2 linked regions of the Canis lupus familiaris genome follow. The protein of the gene in region 1 binds, or shares a complex with, the protein of each later gene. Links are inferred from orthologs where the notes say so. Each region holds a gene or a part of one and is shown on either strand. Other genes may lie near its edges.

Region 1 (8,846 bases):
AGATTTCATTTTATAAGCTAAGTAGATCAAAGCATTTAAATTTTATAGATGTTAAATACTGCATACTAAAATTTTAACACACATACACATTTAAATACCCTGGGAGAGGTGGTATGAAGTGGAGGAAAGAAGTCACCAAATTACCATCTTTATTTGATCCCTCCAAATAAGAACAAGTTGAGAATCATTTAAGTGATAGGAAATGATCATGAACTGAGAGAAATCAGGATCCCAAGAAGAGGCATAAGAAAACACAGTAAAATAAAGAGTGCATTTTAGGTTTAAATATATTTCAAACTACTTATAAAATTATCTGGAAAATATACCGGTTTTAAAAGGATTAACAAAGTGAAGTGAAGTAAGGCTAAAATTAAAAAAAAAAAAAAAAACCCAAGTACACAAGAAAAAAAATGACATACTAAAAATTAGCAAAGAAAGTAAAAATATACATGGCCAAGCAAAACTCAAGAAGCTGAAACAAATGCGAACAACATAACAAGTGTAGTAAAGCAGAATACCAATAAAGGATACAAAAAATATTCATACAGTTCTAAATTTTATAACTCTAATCTAGTAATTTTCCCACAATTTCCATTTCCAGAACAATTTTAGAAATGCATTCCTTTTTTTTTTTATTTTTTTTTTTTTATTTTTATTTATTTATTTTTTTTATGATAGTCATACAGAGAGAGAGAGAGGCAGAGACACAGGCAGAGGGAGAAGCAGGCTCCATGCACCAGGAGCCTGATGTGGGATTCGATCCCGGGTCTCCAGGATCGCGCTCTGGGCCAAAGGCAGGCGCCAAACCGCTGCGCCACCCAGGGATCCCAGAAATGCATTCCTATGGAAAATCAGAGGCTACTCAAAACAAGGTGGCAGCATATGAGTCCTTAAATCCCTCAGATTTTAGCTCTTTTCTCCTGTAAAGGAACAGTAAGTAGTTTTGGGAAATAACAAAAACTCACTGCTCCAGTTCCCCTAAAAGCACACACTAAATTTATTTCCTAATTTCTACTTACTTAAATTACTCTGCATTAGGATATATGACTGTAATGATGGCTTAAAGAATGTGAAACTCAAAAATGTTTAACCTAATAAAGAAAATGTGTTTGTTTTGTTTAAGATTTTATTTACTTATTTGAAAGAGAGATCATGAGCAAAGGGCAGAGGGAGAAGCAGTCTTCTCACTGAGCAGGGAGCCCAATACAGGACTCAATCCCAGGACCCCGGATCATGACCTGAGCCGAAGGTAGATGCTTTAACCGACTGAGCAGCCCAGGTGCGCAGGCAAAGGTGTTTAAAACACACTGTGAATAAGGAAAATCCAGGCTCTTTAACATTTTATTAGTCTTCTTCATATAACACTAGGAAAATAAAGTAAAAACAAAAACAAAACATTAAGACCTCCTGACAGGGCGCCTGAGTGGCTCAGTCAGTTAAGTCTCTGCCTTCTGCTTGGATCATGATCCCAGCGTCCTGGGATGGAGCCCCGCATCACATTGCATTGCATTGGGATCCCTGCTCTGCAAGGAATCTGCTTTTCCCTCTGCCTCTCCCCACTGCTTGTGTACATTCTTGTCTGAAATAAATGAATAAAATCTTTTAAAATTTTTTTAAATTAAAAAATTACAATTGTGAAGATTATGAACTAACATGGAAATGCTAATATATTAATAAGTGTATCATCTATACACTATGTTTTAACCAAGGAGTTGTTTTTGCTTTTCCATGTATCCAGTAGAGCTGTGGCATCTGGGGGATTGAAACTATTTGTGAATGACTCAAAAGTGTATAACAAGTAACATTTTGAATTTTACTAAGACATAAATATAAACCATAAGCTCTGGGAGGAAGCTGTTAGAAAAAAAATCACTTAATCTCTGATAGCCAGGCTAGATATCCTTCCAAAATCCTTATCCTATGGCTATTTTCTATTTGAGGTCATAATACGTAGTAATTCACCATTATACTTTTAAAGAAATCACTTTAGAAATTATGTGCTACAGTGATACACTTGGACTCAGGGGTTCATAATGTCACTGAATACATCAACAATTAACTAATGTCTACTACATATAAACAAACATGAGAAAAAAACATTCCCAAATGTAAAGTTGTATTTGAATATCATCATCAGGGACAATTTTTCCCTTCATTGCTTTATTAAGAGGAAGAGAGGAAAATACCTAAATATCTCTCTTCCCTCCACAAATGGCCTTGGCTCCTGAAACCAAATTATGAAAAAGAAACATAGAAAAACTGATGTTTTAGGACACTAACCAAAAGCAGAAGTGACTTGGGATATATTTCTTTTGTAGCCTGAAAGTCCTTTCTATCCTAAATACTATGAGAGCAATTTATCCTCCCAACATTAAATACTGGACTTTAAAGAATCTCTGTGAATTATCTCTAGAATACTAGCATGACAGTTTACAATCCAGATATTGTGAAGATTCTCTTCCCACTCCTGACTCAGCCTCCCCCCTCTTTAACTGATTCATGTGCCAGGAAGTCTATGTTCACTGTAGTTTTTCCCCAAGGCCTTTATCTCCAGCCAAGCATTAAATAACTCCAGTTTGGTCTCACCTGTAAGGTTGATGTCTCCCAGCAAATCAAGAAGTTCTCCACCAGCAGAAGCTGGTTTGCTTGTAGGTGCAGTTGGAATAACAGGTGTTATGTCATTTCCTCCCAACAAATCCAATAAATCATTGGCCTAAACAAGGAATAATATCTCAATTCATTAGTCATTTATCTAATCTGCATCTAAGGCAAAGCTCTTTCAACACTTAAAAATAAGGAAGAGAATCCTCAATCAATCCAGGAACGTTGAAGGCAATCAGCTGAGATACAGGTTATAAGGAACTGTTATAAGATTCCCAGATAAGCAAGTGAAAAGCTACCTGGCTGGTGGGCTGTGGCCCAGAAGGTGGTGGTTTGGTCTCTAGTGGAGCAGGTTCTGTCTCTCCATTTGTCTGCACAATCTCAGTAGGGCCATTTGTGGTCACTTTTTCCATGACAGGCATTCTCTCAAGCAGGGCAGACCTGGAAGAATCTGAAGTGGTTAAATTCTAGGCAGTTAACCTAGATTCCCTACCCAAGACAATCAGTGTTACTATATTAGAGCCAGACATGGACAGTTATCTCTGCTCCCCACCCTCTAAAACACACACTAGAATAGAAGGTGGATTACAAGAATACATGACCTAAATTCCTGACTGGATTAAGGGCAGGCGAGAAACCCTGAATAGACAAACTGTCCACCTAAATCCCGAGAGATGGGGATTTCTCAGAGGTACAGAAATTGGAATGAAAGAAAGGTAAATAAGTAGGTATTAGCCATTTCCAATCAAGAAGACACTGCATAACAGAAGTGGAAAAAAGACCATGCATCACAAAGTTAAATATTAGGACGAGATTCTCTTGAAAAAACACAACTCCCACTTCTTAACCAAATAACATGGAAAATGAAGCAAATATTTCACACCAAAAGAAAGGGGAAAAGGTGAATGAAAGGACACAGATAATTTACAAGGTAGACAGAAGAGAAGATGGACAAATAAAAGCAGACAAGCAATTAGGATTAAACAGAGTTGTGAAGTCCAGTAATAAAGCATGAGGAAGGAGTCTCCTTTGTGGATTATCAAGACAATCTGTTCACATGCTAACAGCCATATGCATTGATTAGTTTCTTCCACTTACCTCATATGGTCATATTTCTTAAAAAGTGCATTATATTCTACTGCCCTCTGTTGGAGTTCCACATCAATGCTGCTCCCATAGATGGAAACCACTTTCTTAATTCGGCTTTGGGATAAAATGACAAAAAAATTCAAATACCCAAAAGAAAGTTCGTAAACAAGCAGAGAGAACAAACAAACCAGTTTTCTGGTTAAAAATCCGAAATACTCCTCTTTCCTTAATTTACATATCTTTTCAAAGACAAAACACCTTTTTTTAATGTATATTTTTCTATTGGAGTTCGATTTGCGAACATACAACACTCAGTGCTCATCCCTCAATTGCCCCCCCCCCCAGTCAATTGCCCCCACCCAGTGCGCGTCACCCAGCCACCCCATCCTCCCCCCACCTCCCCTTCCACTACCCCATGTTCATTTCCCAGAGTTAGGAGTCTCTCCTGTTTTGTCTCCCTCTCTGATTTTTCCCACTTATTTTCTCTCCTTTCCCCTATAATCTCTACACTTTTCTTTTATCTTCTTACACCCAACATACACCTGAACACCATCATCTACCACTAGTACTTGTTCTGTTAGATGTCCCATACCTAAAATTTGCTAGAAAAAAGTATCAATTATTAATTTGTTACAAAACAAGTATATTAATGTTCATTCTCTTCTTTAACAACCTTACAATAAGCTTTTATCAACAAAAGGTTATTACCTGACAACAAATTCTTCTAGTTCACCATTTAAAGGGTTAGTTTTCACAGAACTACAGAAAGTCTAAGAGAACTAAGTTTGCTTTAAATATGTCTGGCTGAGAAACTAATCCAATTGACTTTCATTCCAAATAGTGAAGAGCAGAATTTAAACATTTAACGAACCACCCAAACCTTTGTGATTTTCTTCCTCTTCAGATACCTCAAAATATTATAATAAACCAGAACCCTTATAGAGGGAAGTAACTACTCTACTTTAAAAAAGAGAAAAGGCATTAGATATCTGATTTTATTTTTTGTAAGATTTTATTTATTTATTCATGAGAGACACAGAAAGAGAGAGGCAGAGATACAGGCAGAGGGAGAAGCAGGCTCCAGGCAGGCAGCCTGACATGGGACTTGATCCCAGGTCTCCAGGATCACGCCCTGGGCTGAAGGCGGCACTAAACCGCTGAGCCACCCGGGCTGCCCAGATACCTGATTTTAAAAACAAAAACAAAAACAAAAAAACCCATAACTTTTTATCTTTAAAATAATAAATGGTGGGATGTGGGAAACAAGGGAGTAAAGTATAGATAAAATAAGGATGAACCATAAATTAATGATTATTACTGTGGAATAAGAGTTATATATGATTCATTTTACGACCCTATTTTGCCTTTCCTTTAAATTTTCTATAATAAAGAGTTTTAAAAATTACAAAATAACATGTTCATCCTACTTTTTCTCCATACTCACTTTACAGTACAGGTGAATCGGGTAGAAAGCTTCATAATGGCAGTGAGAGCATAACCTCGGGTCACAGAGGTGGACATATTAGAGATTAGAACACTCTCTAAAATATCCAACACTTCATCTTCTGTTACCTGGGGAGAAAAAAAAAAAAGTCAATATCTAAATCTGATATCAAGTCACAGGATGCCACCAGAAAGACAACCCTACCATCGTTACTAAAACTCTAACAACTATCTGTGCTTTGCCACAGTAACTGTCCAAGCTGATCCATCAATCAGAAGCAGGTAGGAGATTTAAAAAAAAAAAAAAAAAAAAAAAGAGTGGAAAATACCCACTGGAGGCTGAGAGCCATATTATATTAATTGCAAGAGGCAGAAGTAAAGAAGAAAATAAAAAGATAAATAGAGTACAAGTGTTGTTGCTACCACATCTCCTAAAACCCAGTCTTTTAATAAGCAAATGCTGATATGGATAGGTCTCATTTCTTATCAAGCCACAGCGTAGGAGAAACAATATAATTCAGTCTCATATCGTAAGGAGTAGGTTCTATCCCGACACAGTAAGGATAGTAAGTTCTATCACAAAAACTGCCAAGTTTCCCAATAGAATTCTGGCATTAACTTCTTTAACAGGTTTCCACGGAATCGACCTCAACTCATAAAACATTATCCTCCTATAACCAAAAACACTAGTTTCTCCCCTCCTGAGAGAGTAGCAAAGGGTACCTGAATAGGTTCTTCCTCTTCACACTGGCCTGATACAAGAAGATCTCCATATTCACCTATACACCATGCAGCCACTTGTACCAAAGGTTGCTGTCAAAACAAAGACACCATTTGTCAAAGGCTTTCAATCCTTGCAAAGATTAATGCAAATCCCAGGTCATCTAATCATAAAGGTCAAAATCAAGGCACATCTAGAGTGTTAGTAACAAGAACACACAGGAACGTAATGGGTAATTTCCCTACCAAAGTAAAAAGTACCTACTTGAGAATAATCACCAAGAATTGCTTTGTACAAGCGCTGGACAGTATAGGCATGCATCTCCACACTATTGGTTATTAACTGGATCAAGTTGGGGACTGCATCATCACGAACGTAGCTTCCTGCCTAAAAAGAAATGCAGTTATCCTTAAAACACACTACAATGATAAGAAATGTTAGCTATTGCTTTTATTCAAAGAAGACTGCTACGAAATATCCTCAAAGATAAAACGGGTTCCGATTCTCAGGTTCATATGCAGCTCAAACTTCAAAGTCTTATTCAGATGACTTCCTTATTTAAATGAGTATTCTAAGTTTTCAAATTTTAAAAAAAGTAAAAAAAAATCTCCTTTGTAAAAGTAAAAAAAAAAAAAAACAAAGGATTAAAATTTTAAGAACTTTTCTATTTCAAAATAGATTATTAGGTTTAAGATTTCAAAAATGTAAGAAATGCAGTAACTGGGAACTTAATTACAACAACCTCTCCCATCTCACAACTCTTCAACACAGTTAAAATCATATGGGCTAGCTACAGAAACCAAACTACTCTGGAGGATGGAGAGGAGAGTGTACGTCAACAGTCCAAAAGGACAGCATGTTAAAATAAGAATTAAATAAACTGTAACCTTTTTAAAACTTCAATTTAAAACATCGCACTGTCCTTTAGAACTATAGTTTATAAAAATTACAGAACCATTCATCCCAGAAAGGTCAAAAATATTTTGTATTTAATCATCCACACTTTAAAAACAAAAACAAATCTAGTCTCTTTAATGTCCTCTTTACTAGTAGAATCTAAGATACTATTTGCAACCATGGAACAAAGTAAAGTTATTCAACCTGTGAGGAAACTAAATCTTGGCCTTGTCAGAGCATTATGATAACCAAGTTGTGTAGGACACAAACAGTGGAATCTGTGCCTGATATCAGCCCACCTTGATCAAGCTCCCATTACTGGACAGAGGAACAGGTCTGATTTACAAGAATGAGACCAGGAAAAAGAAAAGGAAAAGGAAAAGGGGAGATGGGGAGAGGGGGGGAACAGAGAAGAAAAAGAAAAAAACCTCAGGTGACTGGGATGCCCACACCTACTAGAAAAACACAAAGAGGAAGAAGTTTGGGAAAATGGTCAAAAAGGAACAGAGAGAAGCTAAAAAGTAATTTGTTTTATATTCTTCCCCAATGGGAAAAAGTAGTGTTTAAATAAGAGAAAGCATCGATATGATCTAAATGACATTTATACACCACTTTATCCAATAGCAGAAAACTCCTTATTCTCAAGCTCCAATGGAACATTCACTAAAGACAGACCACATTCTGGGCCATAAAAAAAAACCATCTCAAATTTATTTAATTAAAGTAGGTTCCAAGTCCAACATGGGGCATGAACTCATGACCCTGAGATCGAGAGAGTCACATGCTCACTGACTAAGCCAGCCAGGGATCCCAGAAACATCTCAAATTTAAAAGAAAAAAGCTGAGGGGCACCTTGATGGGCTTAGTTAGCTAAGTGTCGGCCTTGGGCTGAGGTCATGATCCCGAGGTCGATTAAGCGGCAGATTGGGCTCCCCACTCAGCAGGGAGTCTGCTCCTCCCTCCCCCAGCTTGTATTCTTATTCTCTTCTCCCTCTGCCCCTCCCTCCCCCAGCTTGTATTCTCTTTCTCTCTCAAATAAATAAGTAAAATCTTTTTAAAAATAAATAAAAGAATAAAAGTCATACAGGACTTAATTAGAAATCAAGAACAAAGATAGCTAAGAAACCCCAAAATATTCGGAAATTAAACAACTAAACAACACTTAGGTCAAAGAAAATTATAGACCAGTATCTCTCATGAATACGGATGTAAAAATCCTTAAAAAAATATATCAGCAAATCAAATACAACAATGTATAAAAAGAACTGTACAGCACAACCATGTGGGATTTATTCCAGGTATGGAAGGTTAGTTAGTTCAACATTCAAAAATCAATTAATTTTTGATCCAGCACATCAATAGGTTAAAGAGGAAAAATCACAAGACCATAATAAGATTACCTAAGTCAACTGGAAAAATGAAAAGTAGGAGCATTAAAAAAAGAATGGTTTAAATTTTGACAACACTTTTCTTCAGGAGCTCTAATTGTTCTCTTCTTTTGAGCCTTACAGAAACTAATAAACTGTATCCTGATTCATACCTTTTGTTAAAATATAGTTTTCCCATTAAGTGCATTTATTAACATTTTTACAAAATTAATTCAAATAAACTAGAAAACTAGCATGTCACAGACAGAATTCCACAGCAACAAGCATACATACACACACAATTTTAACGATATCATTCCTTCCTACAGATGTTTTATAACTTGCTTAACCAAGGACCATTTGCAGACTTGTAGTTTTTCCCAGTTTTCTCCCATTAAAAAACAAGATTGGGATGAACATCTTTGTATATACATTTTTGTATACTTGTTGTCCTTGAATTTTTCCAAGATAAATTCCTAAAGAGAATTGATGAGTTAAAAGGTACCAAAAAAAAAAAAAAAAAAGGTACAAACTAGGGGCGCATGGGTGGCTCGGTTAAGTGTCTGACTCTTGATTTTGGCCCACGTACCCGAGTATAATTCTAGAAAGGTGGCAACATTTTATACCCACTATGAAGTGGAGAGTACTGCCTATTTCTTCATTTCCTAATTAACACTAGGAATTAGATTAAAAAGTATGACAAGTAAAAAAGGATACCTCACTTATAA
Region 2 (8,844 bases), on another chromosome or scaffold:
GGGGCTTCAGGCAAGAGGGAGGGAAGGAGGAGAAAGGGTAAGAAAGGGAGTGGAGCTGGCGCGTACGGTGGCCGAAGAGGGTCGCGCCGAGCCGGAGGCTGCAGGATGGTAGGCTGTGCGGAGAGGGAGGGGAGGGGGAACCGAGGGGCGTGGGCTGCACCTGCGGGGGTCCTCGGGGGCCGCCCTCTCTTCCTACGGTCCTCGGAGGCCCCACGTACCCGGGCGGGGGGGCCAGCCGGCCTCGGAAGGAACAGCAGCTGGAAATGGCTTTAGGGAGAAGGGGCGGGGAGGAGGCGCGTTTGTGGGGCGAGAGGGGGCTGACTAGGGGCGGCGGGACCGTCCCGAGCCTGGCTGGGGGAGCGCGCGGGTGGCGGTCCGAGGGGTCCCGACCACTCACTCCCGCAGGGAGGTCCGCCCGAGGAAGAGGGGCGCCGGGGCCTGCCGGCGGCGGGGGGCGGCGGGTCACAAGACCCTCTGTTCGGGTGCAGCCCAGAGCAGAGGCTGTGTGGGAGGGGAGAGTTTCCGGGTCCGAGGAGTGGACGTCCTGCCTCGGTTTATCGCAGGTGGGAAAGCCAAATGGACGCGAGGTCTTGCTCTCCAGGACCCAGGCTTCGGATCCCCAGACCCCGTGCTCTTGGCTCTCCGTCCCCCACCCCATTCTCTTTCCGGAGCCCAGGCCTTCCGTCTTCCTGCTGGCTTCCCGCTTCCCCGCCCCCCAGTCTCAGACACGCAGGGCTCCCAAGCGCCCCTCTGCTGCCCTCCCGTCACGCTAGCAGCGTGTCCCCTTCCCCACCACCCCAAACCCTTGATTTCTGATCTAGCCTCCTAAGCAAGTACTGTGTCAAACACCCACGGATTCCAGCCGTGGTAATGTCCAGGGAGGAGCTAACTCCAGGATGTAGCCTGGACCCCCTGGAACTGAAAGCTGCGGGTGCACGGGGTAGTGACGGCTCCTCACTCCTCCCCACTCTACTCAGCGTGCACTTTGTTTCACAAAGCTTCGGGAACCACCCTGGGTGATGGTGTCCTTAACCAAGGAACTGAAAGGGAAATTGGTCACCTGGTATCTGAAGAGGAGTGGGGGCATAGCAAGAGGCACCCGAGAAGGAAAAAAAGAGAGGACTGTCAGTGGCCAGAGGCCTGGATGGTTGAGGAGAGGAGAGGGTGGAATCTACCCCTGGGCATATGACTAGCACTGGAGGGCAGTGTATTGGGGATATCCACAAGGGTGTATGGCCAGGATGGGGTGGAGAATTGAAGTAGCTTCTGGAGAGACAAAATCCTTCATTTCGGGATGGTGGTGGATAGAAGGACCACAGAAGAAAGCAGACATCTCTTTGACTTCATCTATGAGCTGCTTGTCACTGTGCTGGGCATTTGACTGACCTTTGGAAGGCAGAGGTAGGAAACAAGAGATGAAGGCATGATAATAGTGACACCTATTGTGTTCCAATGCTTACCATGTGACAGGCACAATTGCATATATCAACTCATTTAATCCCTCCAAACAGGTAGGTACTTATATTACATCCATTATACAGACCAGGAAACTGAGGCCCTGAGAGGTAAAATAATTGCCCAAGGCAAATTTCTCAACTCCTGGAGCCAGGAGGATTTGAACCCAAATGACAGACTCCAAAGCTCAGACATGCCCCCAGAAGTAAAGGCACCTGCTGGTGGGGATACTCAGAGTTGACCAGCAAGGGCTGATTTTTGAAGCCAGTGGGAGCTGTGAATGGACAGGGGTTAGCTGCACTTGTAGGACGCATGTATGACTGTGTTTATGGAGTAAACAAAACCAGGGAACAGAATCTCTGACCCTCAGCTCTGCCCCTGCCCCCTAGATGCGATTCATGCTGCTGTTCAGCCGGCAGGGAAAGCTGCGGCTGCAGAAATGGTACCTGGCCACATCAGACAAGGAGCGAAAGAAAATGGTCCGGGAGCTTATGCAGGTTGTTCTGGCTCGCAAGCCCAAGATGTGCAGCTTCCTGGAGTGGAGGGATCTCAAAGTCGTCTATAAGAGGTGATTTGCCGCCTACTTTCACAGCTATCTGGATCCTGCTTGGTGGGGGTCTGGCGGTGGTTCAAATGGCTGAGAAATAAGGTCAGGGAGAACAGGGAGCTAAGGACATCTGGAGGTCAGTGATGGACTCCAGCTTCCTTCAATTTCCAAACTTACCTTGAAGAAATTCTTTGTTTTGCTCCCCGTTTGTTTTGCTCATGCCTGACACCTACTTTACGCACATACCTCTGTCACCAAGGCCCTATCCTGTTCATCGTACGTGTCCCTTGCAGCCTCCCTCATTCGACAGTGATAGATCCTGCACCACCTTTCCCCAAACACACACACACGCACACGCACGCGCACACAGACACACCCTGTCCAGTTCCTTCTCTGAGCAGGTGGATTACTTGGCTCAGGTTTTTGCTGAGTCAAACTGAACAGGTCAGAGGGCAAAGGGAAAGAGCTTGTGTTAGCCTCCGTTTGTGAGAGTCACCAAGAGACGGAGTGAGTTGTTACTATTTGCATACCCTGGGGCCACCCCGCCTATGTCCAATGGACACCAGACCCTGCGCTGGGAATGAGGAATGGGAGGTTTGGGTGCAAGAAGCCTGGATCCTGAAGCAGATGCAGCAGCGCCTCCAGCTACCCCACGTGTGCCCCTGTCCTCAGATATGCCAGCCTCTACTTCTGCTGTGCCATTGAGGGCCAAGACAATGAGCTCATCACGCTGGAGCTGATCCACCGGTATGTGGAGCTCCTGGACAAATACTTCGGCAGTGTAAGTTTCCCCACCCACGCTGTTCGTACCCAGCAGTCCCCTCTTCCTACCAAACCCCGGGACCCTTCTAGTCTCTGCCTGGAAGATTTAGAAGAGGCAGAGTTGGAGTAGTGAGAACAGTAATTAATTCCCTTCTTTAAACCATAAGCCTATTAGCCATATCCCTTAATCAGCCCAGGGGAGGGGTGTGCACCAGAATCAGTCCATCTAGAGCTCAGCTCAGAAGTCTCAAAAGGACGAAGACCACATTCAGATTTTATCACTGGCTCCTGACTTGACTTTGCATTGGATTATTCTGGAGTGTTGGGGGGTTTTCTTGGTTTTTGTTTTTTAATCAGTGATGCCTGGGTCCCATGCCCAGCAATTCTGGGTTAACTGAACTGGGGTATAGCCTGGGCATTGATAGTCAGCTCAGATCTTAGATGGGGAAGAGTAATAACTCCATCACATATACCCCACTTAACAGTTTACAAAGTGCTTTCAGGTTCTTGTGTCTGCTCCTCGTTTAATACTGTGAGTAGGTGTTGTTATCTCAATTTTCAGATGAGAAAACAAACTCAGAAAAATGAAACGACATGTCCATCTAGCTGCGTAGTGGCAGAGCCCTGCTTGGAACTCAAGTCTTTCTGCCCAGGATCTAGAATCTCTTCCTTCCCTGCCCTGTAGTGCCCAGGGAGAGAGGCTAGCCTGGCCCCTATGGGAACAGTGTCACAGATTTTGGGGGGAAAAGCAGCAGGAACCACAGTCAAGGGTAGATTAGGGCAAGTAATATTCCATGTTCACAGAGAAAAAGGCAAGAGGAGAGAAGGAAAAGTCAAGGTACTAAGGCCTAGGGATTGGTGGTGGTGGCGGAGGGAGGGAGTTGATCATAGACCTGGGGCAAGAGCAGGAGGTGGGAGAAGTTGTCAAGAAGAACGTGGAGCCATGATAAGGAAAGAGGCAGGCGGCTAGGGTGCAGGTGGGATGCAAATGCCCCTTGACACTCAACTCTGCCTTCTCTCTGTCCTCCCAGGTGTGCGAACTGGACATCATCTTCAACTTTGAGAAGGCCTACTTCATCCTGGATGAGTTTCTGATGGGGGGTGATGTCCAGGACACCTCCAAGAAGAGTGTGCTGAAGGCCATCGAGCAGGCTGACCTGCTGCAGGAGGTACGGGCCCAGGACAGTGAGGAGGAGGAAGCATACCCTCCCTTCCCTGGACACCTTGCCTGCCACCCATGGCTGCCCCCTTCCAGCCGCCAAGGGGGCCCCCCTCCCTGTGGTGTCCCGCCCCCACGGCGCCCAGTTGGCCAGCTTGCCCTCAAGCACTGACTGCTCAGCATGGGAGGTCCTGGTGGCAGGTAGCCTGCCTGTGCCAGCTCTCCCTCCTTCCCCCAAGACCCAGGGTGTTCATCCCAGCCAAATCCTCTGTGTCCCATCCTTCTCTGGGCATTTAGGACTGCTCAGGGAATTGGAGAGGGGCACTTGAGAGATAATTCTTTTTTCCCTGGTGTCTCCCCCACCCCCTTTTTAAACACACAAGGACACGTACACTCAAAAGCCTCTGCTCCACAGAAGCAAAGGGCTGCGGGGGTTTGGGGGTTGCGGTTGAGGGTGCCTGGCTGTTGGTTCTCCTGCTATCCAACACCCCCGCCCTCACCCCATTACTGCCTGCCCCCTCTCTGCTGTGCCACTGCTGAGACTTGGTGCAGGGAGATGAGTCACCGGAATCTGCAATGACAAGCAAGCTGGCCTGAGCTGGCTCTGAGGAGGGGGAGAGATGGGGGCTCATCTCTGCAGAAGGAGAAAGGGCAGAATTGAACTTGCCACTTCACTGGTCCAACTTCCCCTTCACACACACACACACATACACATGCACACACACACAGTGCCTGGCACATACACCTACCCCTGTTACTAGAGCTCTGCTCAGACCCTAATGACTCATTTCTCTGCAGTATGGTTCACTTTCCCTCAGGGATTTGATGCCAATTTATTACTCCCTGCCCCCACTCTGAATACAAGGACCCGGCCATCTGGCACCTGGTACCCCCAATCTCCAGAAAGCAGGCTTCCCACCCCTCAGCCCCAGCTTCATTCCCTTTCCCCCTCAGAGACCAAGAATGAGCCCCCTGCTCCCCAAGCTTCTGGTTTTAGGTTTTCTGGGTGGTGGTGGACTCAACCAGAACCCCCTCCTTACCACAGTTGGCTCTAGAGGGTAGTCCCTGGAGACTGGGCAGCTCCCCTGAAGGGTCCCTAGCTGTTCTAACCTTGAGCTCACTTTGGCTTTTCTCTCCCCTCCCTGTGTCTCTCTGTACTACCCCCCCCCCCCCCCCTCGTGTGACTGTCGTTGTCTTGCCCACATTCCTTGTCTGCCTGTCCTGGTGTCTCTGCGTCACTCTCTGTCCCTGCCTCAGGAGGATGAGTCGCCTCGCAGTGTGCTGGAGGAGATGGGTCTGGCATAGCCCCCCCCCCTCCCGCCTGGGCCTCGTGGAGCTGTGGGGAGCTGGTGGAGAGGCAGGGCATGAGTGCCCCTTTTCTTGGTGGGACCCAGCTGCCCCTCCTCTGCTGCCTCACCTTCTTTCGGAGTGAGCTGTGGGCTTGGGACCCTCAAACATTCCTTCCCTCCACCTGTATCTCCTCTTTCCCCTCTCCCCAATGAAGGTTTTAGGAGGTAGGAAAATGTGACCAAAATGGGGGTGCTATTTGGCTTTCATTCCCTGCCTTTGAAGAACTAATGTTACCTAAAACTTGTTCCCCTCCCTTCTAACTGTAAATATATAAATACGTCAGGTTAAAGGGAAAAGGTTTTCAGGGCTCTTCTCTTCTCCCTTGCCCCATAACCTACCTCCACCCTGCCCCAGTAGCCAGCCAGGGCAGCTTCTCTGCCTGGGGTGCAGGTGGGGGGGATTTCTGAGTACTGAGAGTCCTCATCTACCCTCTTCGTCCTCGGTCCTCGGCCGCAGTGGGGACTCTGTCCAGTGCCAGGGGAGGAACAACATGGTTAATTTTTTTCTAACCTTACCACTTGAGGGAAGTGAGGGTTGGGGGAAGGGCAGGCTTTATGGGAGACTGTCCCTCCTTCACTCCATGTTCTGGGTGAGGCAGGAGCTAAGGGGTGGGGTGTGGGAAGCATCTGACTTTATTTCCTTTCTTCTGAAATAAAAGGAAAAGCATTTCTGGACTTTGCCTGCTTAGGTTCTGTGAAGGAATGAAAGGACCCTGGGATCAGCACTCATGGGAACACTGCCCATTTACCTCCTCCGAAATAGGATTGCCAGAGTTAGAGAAACACACACAACACACACATGCACACACACATATAGAGGACACCTCATTCAATTAGAATAATAATATTTTTAGGATAAGGGTATCCTATACAAATAGATTCCTTGTTTATCAAAAGTGAAAATTTAACTGAGCTTCCTGTAATTTATTTGGCACCCCTATTCCAAAAGGATTTGTCAGTTCATTGCCTCTCTTGAACATGGTGCCTCCAGCTACCCAGCTGCCTTTGGCCAGGGTGAAACAGCTCCTGGGGACATGGTTTCACTCCTGGGAGGTTTCTTTGTGGAAGATTTCATTCAGCTGGTTTAGTTGTATTTGGAGAGAGAAACCAGGGGTTCAAGGGCATATCCAACCCTGTATGTTCACCAAAGTGTTTAGAAGTGGTGAAAAGCAGGGCGTCTCTGTAGCTGGAGGTTCCTCCTCCCTGTTGTAAAGTGCCCAGGACCAGGGAGTATAGGGGGCAGTTAAGGGAGGTGACAGGATGAGGTGGAACAGGGACTGTGAGGAGCCACCAGTACTAAGTGGCTGGAGGATCATGGATAGAACAGCTTTCTAAGTGTCCTGGAGCTGCCCCTCTCTGGGAACCAATGACTACCTCCACCACCTCCAAGCTAGAAGTGGAATTTAGGCTTTCTTAACAGGTACAGGCCATACTCTGCTCTTAAATACGGTTGAAAGTGGTTCCACCACCCTCGCTTTTGAACAGAAGGAGTTGGTTGTTGTGGCTGGCGCTTCCCTCACCGCCCCTTGGGAAGGACCACGGAGGCCCAAGGGGACGGGTGAATAACGGAGAACAAAGTCCTAATAAAATAGTCACTTTTATTTCTTAGCAAAACTATTTCCTCCGTGAGGGGTATTTACAACAGAGAAGGGAAAGAATAGGTAAATTCACAGCGATCTGGAGAGGGCGGAGAGGCTCCTGGGAGGCCCAAAGGGCGGGAGACAAACACTTCTTCACACAATTAACTGGAACAGCTTTTTCCGGTTTTGGACGGGGACGTCCCTAGAGGGACTAGGTAGGGACAGAGGCCCGTAGGGGGGGAGGGAATTCGCTCAAACCACCCGCCCGTCTGGGGTGGCCCCGGGGGCCTCCTCGAGGGAGTTTGGGGAGTTCGGGCTTCGAATCCAGGAAGCGGTCTGACAGGTCCCAGAGCAGCCCGGGGGCGGGGCGACCCAAGGGCGGGGGCGGGGCCGGGAGGCGGCCGGGGGCGGGGCAGGGGGAAGCATGCAAACATCGAGAGGGGAGGGGTGTAACACGGAGGGGGGGTGGCAGCTCGCGCTGCTGCGGCGCGCGGGGGCGGGACCCGGGCAGGTCACGGGCGCCGGAGCAGCACGTGCTCGATATAATTCTCCAGCTCCTCCTGCTCCTGCATCCGGCGCTCCTCCGCCTCCGCCTCCTCCTGCGCGCGCCGCGCCTGGGCCTCCCGGCCTGGATAGTGATGCGAAGGCGGCAGGGCGTGGTGGTAGTGGCGGCGGCGCGAGGTGGCGGGCGGCTGCAGTGTCCGCGGCCGGATGTAGTTGGGAAAAGGGTGGTAGGGCCCGGGGGGAAACAGCTCGTCCTCCTGGCGATCCCAGGGTGGGAGCACCTCGTTCCAGTCGGGCAGCTCCTCCCGGCCGGGGGCGGGGGCAGGGGGCGGGGGCTGCGGGGAACGGACGTGGGTGGGGGCGGGGGCGGCCCGGGGGTGCGGCACGGGCTCGGGAGGGGCGTTCTTCTTCCGCTTCCGCTTCTCCTCCACCTCCTCGATGATGCTGACCACGTCGTCTGCGGGCAGGTGGAGTTTGGTGGACAGCTCGATGAGGCTGTCGATGGTCTGAGGGTCCATCTCTTCGTCGTCGTCCTCCTCCTCCCCGCCCTCCTCTGCCCCCTCAGCCTCCTTACGACGGTGGCCGGGCATCTCTTCCTGGGAGCGCTTGTCCTCGGCTCCGGCTTCTCCGTCCTCCTCCTCTGCGAACAGCAGCGCGTTCTGCCGCGCCCTCTCCGCCTCCTCCGCCTCTGCCTCCGCCTCCGCCGCCTCCTCATCCTCTTCCCCCACCCTCTCCGCCCCGCCGCGTCGCTCCTGCTCCGCCTCCGCATCCTCCCTCACGCTCTCTCGCTCCTCCTCCTTCTCCTGCAGCCCCCGACCCCCAAGGCCGCGCTGCCGGGCCCCGCCCTGCAGCAAATACTGGAGCAGCAGGTCGGAGGCGAGGTCCGCCAGCCGCTCTTCCTGCGCCGCGGCCTGCCGTGTGGCCTCCGCCTGCCGCCGCCCGGCCTCTACCTGCGCCAGCCCTTGCTGTAGAAGGCGTTCCCCCGCTTCAGAGCCGCCCAGGAGTGAGCTCTCCGGACGGCGCGCCTTGGGGAAAGGGGCACCCAGGCTTTGGTACGCCTTGGAGAGGGGTGCCAATGCCTCACCTAGATGTGTTTTGGGGGAAGACACTCCTTCCCCGAACTGGTGGGCTTCAGGAAGGGGCCCACTCTCGGGCATACGCGCCTGGAACTGCGGGGGAGCTGGGGGTGGCAGGGGCGCGCGCTCCGGGACGCGCGCCTGGAACTCTCCCCAGGAAGCGCGCCACACACGCTCCGGCCCGGGGCTCTCCAGGTTGACTCGGGTCAGCGTGTGCGTGCGAGTTTCCGTCTCTGCTGCCGCTGTCTCTTGCTGGCGCTTGGCGCTGCTCGGACTGAAATCTCGCAGTTCCTGGAGCAGGGAAGCTAGCGCCTCGAGCTCCTCGGAAGGGTCGCCAGCCTCGGGACCATTCTCCTGAGTCTGAGGGCGAGGCGGGGCCACAGGTGCCTGGGTCTCTGGCGCCGGGAGGCTG

The links.
Region 2: the proteins of AP1G1 (region 1) and AP1S1 are in contact, whole or in part, in a crystal structure (PDB 1W63), measured with the Mus musculus proteins. The link is inferred for Canis lupus familiaris from reciprocal best matches to the Homo sapiens genes AP1G1 and AP1S1. Residues at the interface, in NP_001288140.1 of Mus musculus: Leu7, Arg8, Ile11, Arg12, Arg15, Leu54, Tyr55, His57, Met58, Gly60, Tyr61, Lys78, Phe79, Thr80, Arg83, Ile84, Leu87, Met90, Leu91, Asp94, Glu95, Thr115, Phe117, Leu123, Cys124, Gly127, Cys128, Tyr152, Lys155, Lys156; in NP_031483.1 of Mus musculus: Met1, Leu14, Arg15, Leu16, Gln17, Lys18, Trp19, Leu21, Ala22, Thr23, Asp25, Arg28, Lys29, Arg42, Lys45, Met46, Cys47, Ser48, Phe49, Glu51, Lys56, Gln74, Asp75, Asn76, Glu77, Leu78, Ile79, Leu81, Glu82, Leu83.

What each region holds. Positions count from the first base shown.
Region 1 is NC_049226.1:78,101,976-78,110,821, forward strand, and holds part of AP1G1 (AP-1 complex subunit gamma-1), read right to left. Parts: intron 6,242-8,846; coding exon 6,119-6,241; intron 5,947-6,118; coding exon 5,857-5,946; intron 5,263-5,856; coding exon 5,135-5,262; intron 3,805-5,134; coding exon 3,700-3,804; intron 3,043-3,699; coding exon 2,901-3,042; intron 2,714-2,900; coding exon 2,587-2,713; intron 1-2,586. UniProt on the Homo sapiens protein: Subunit of clathrin-associated adaptor protein complex 1 that plays a role in protein sorting in the late-Golgi/trans-Golgi network (TGN) and/or endosomes.
Region 2 is NC_049227.1:8,617,116-8,625,959, reverse strand, and holds the end of AP1S1 (AP-1 complex subunit sigma-1A), read left to right. Parts: 5' UTR 1-105; coding exon 106-108; intron 109-1,844; coding exon 1,845-2,023; intron 2,024-2,674; coding exon 2,675-2,783; intron 2,784-3,795; coding exon 3,796-3,933; intron 3,934-5,180; coding exon 5,181-5,228; 3' UTR 5,229-5,947; downstream 5,948-8,844. Other genes in the region: neurosecretory protein VGF, read right to left, coding at 7,365-8,844. UniProt on the Homo sapiens protein: Subunit of clathrin-associated adaptor protein complex 1 that plays a role in protein sorting in the late-Golgi/trans-Golgi network (TGN) and/or endosomes.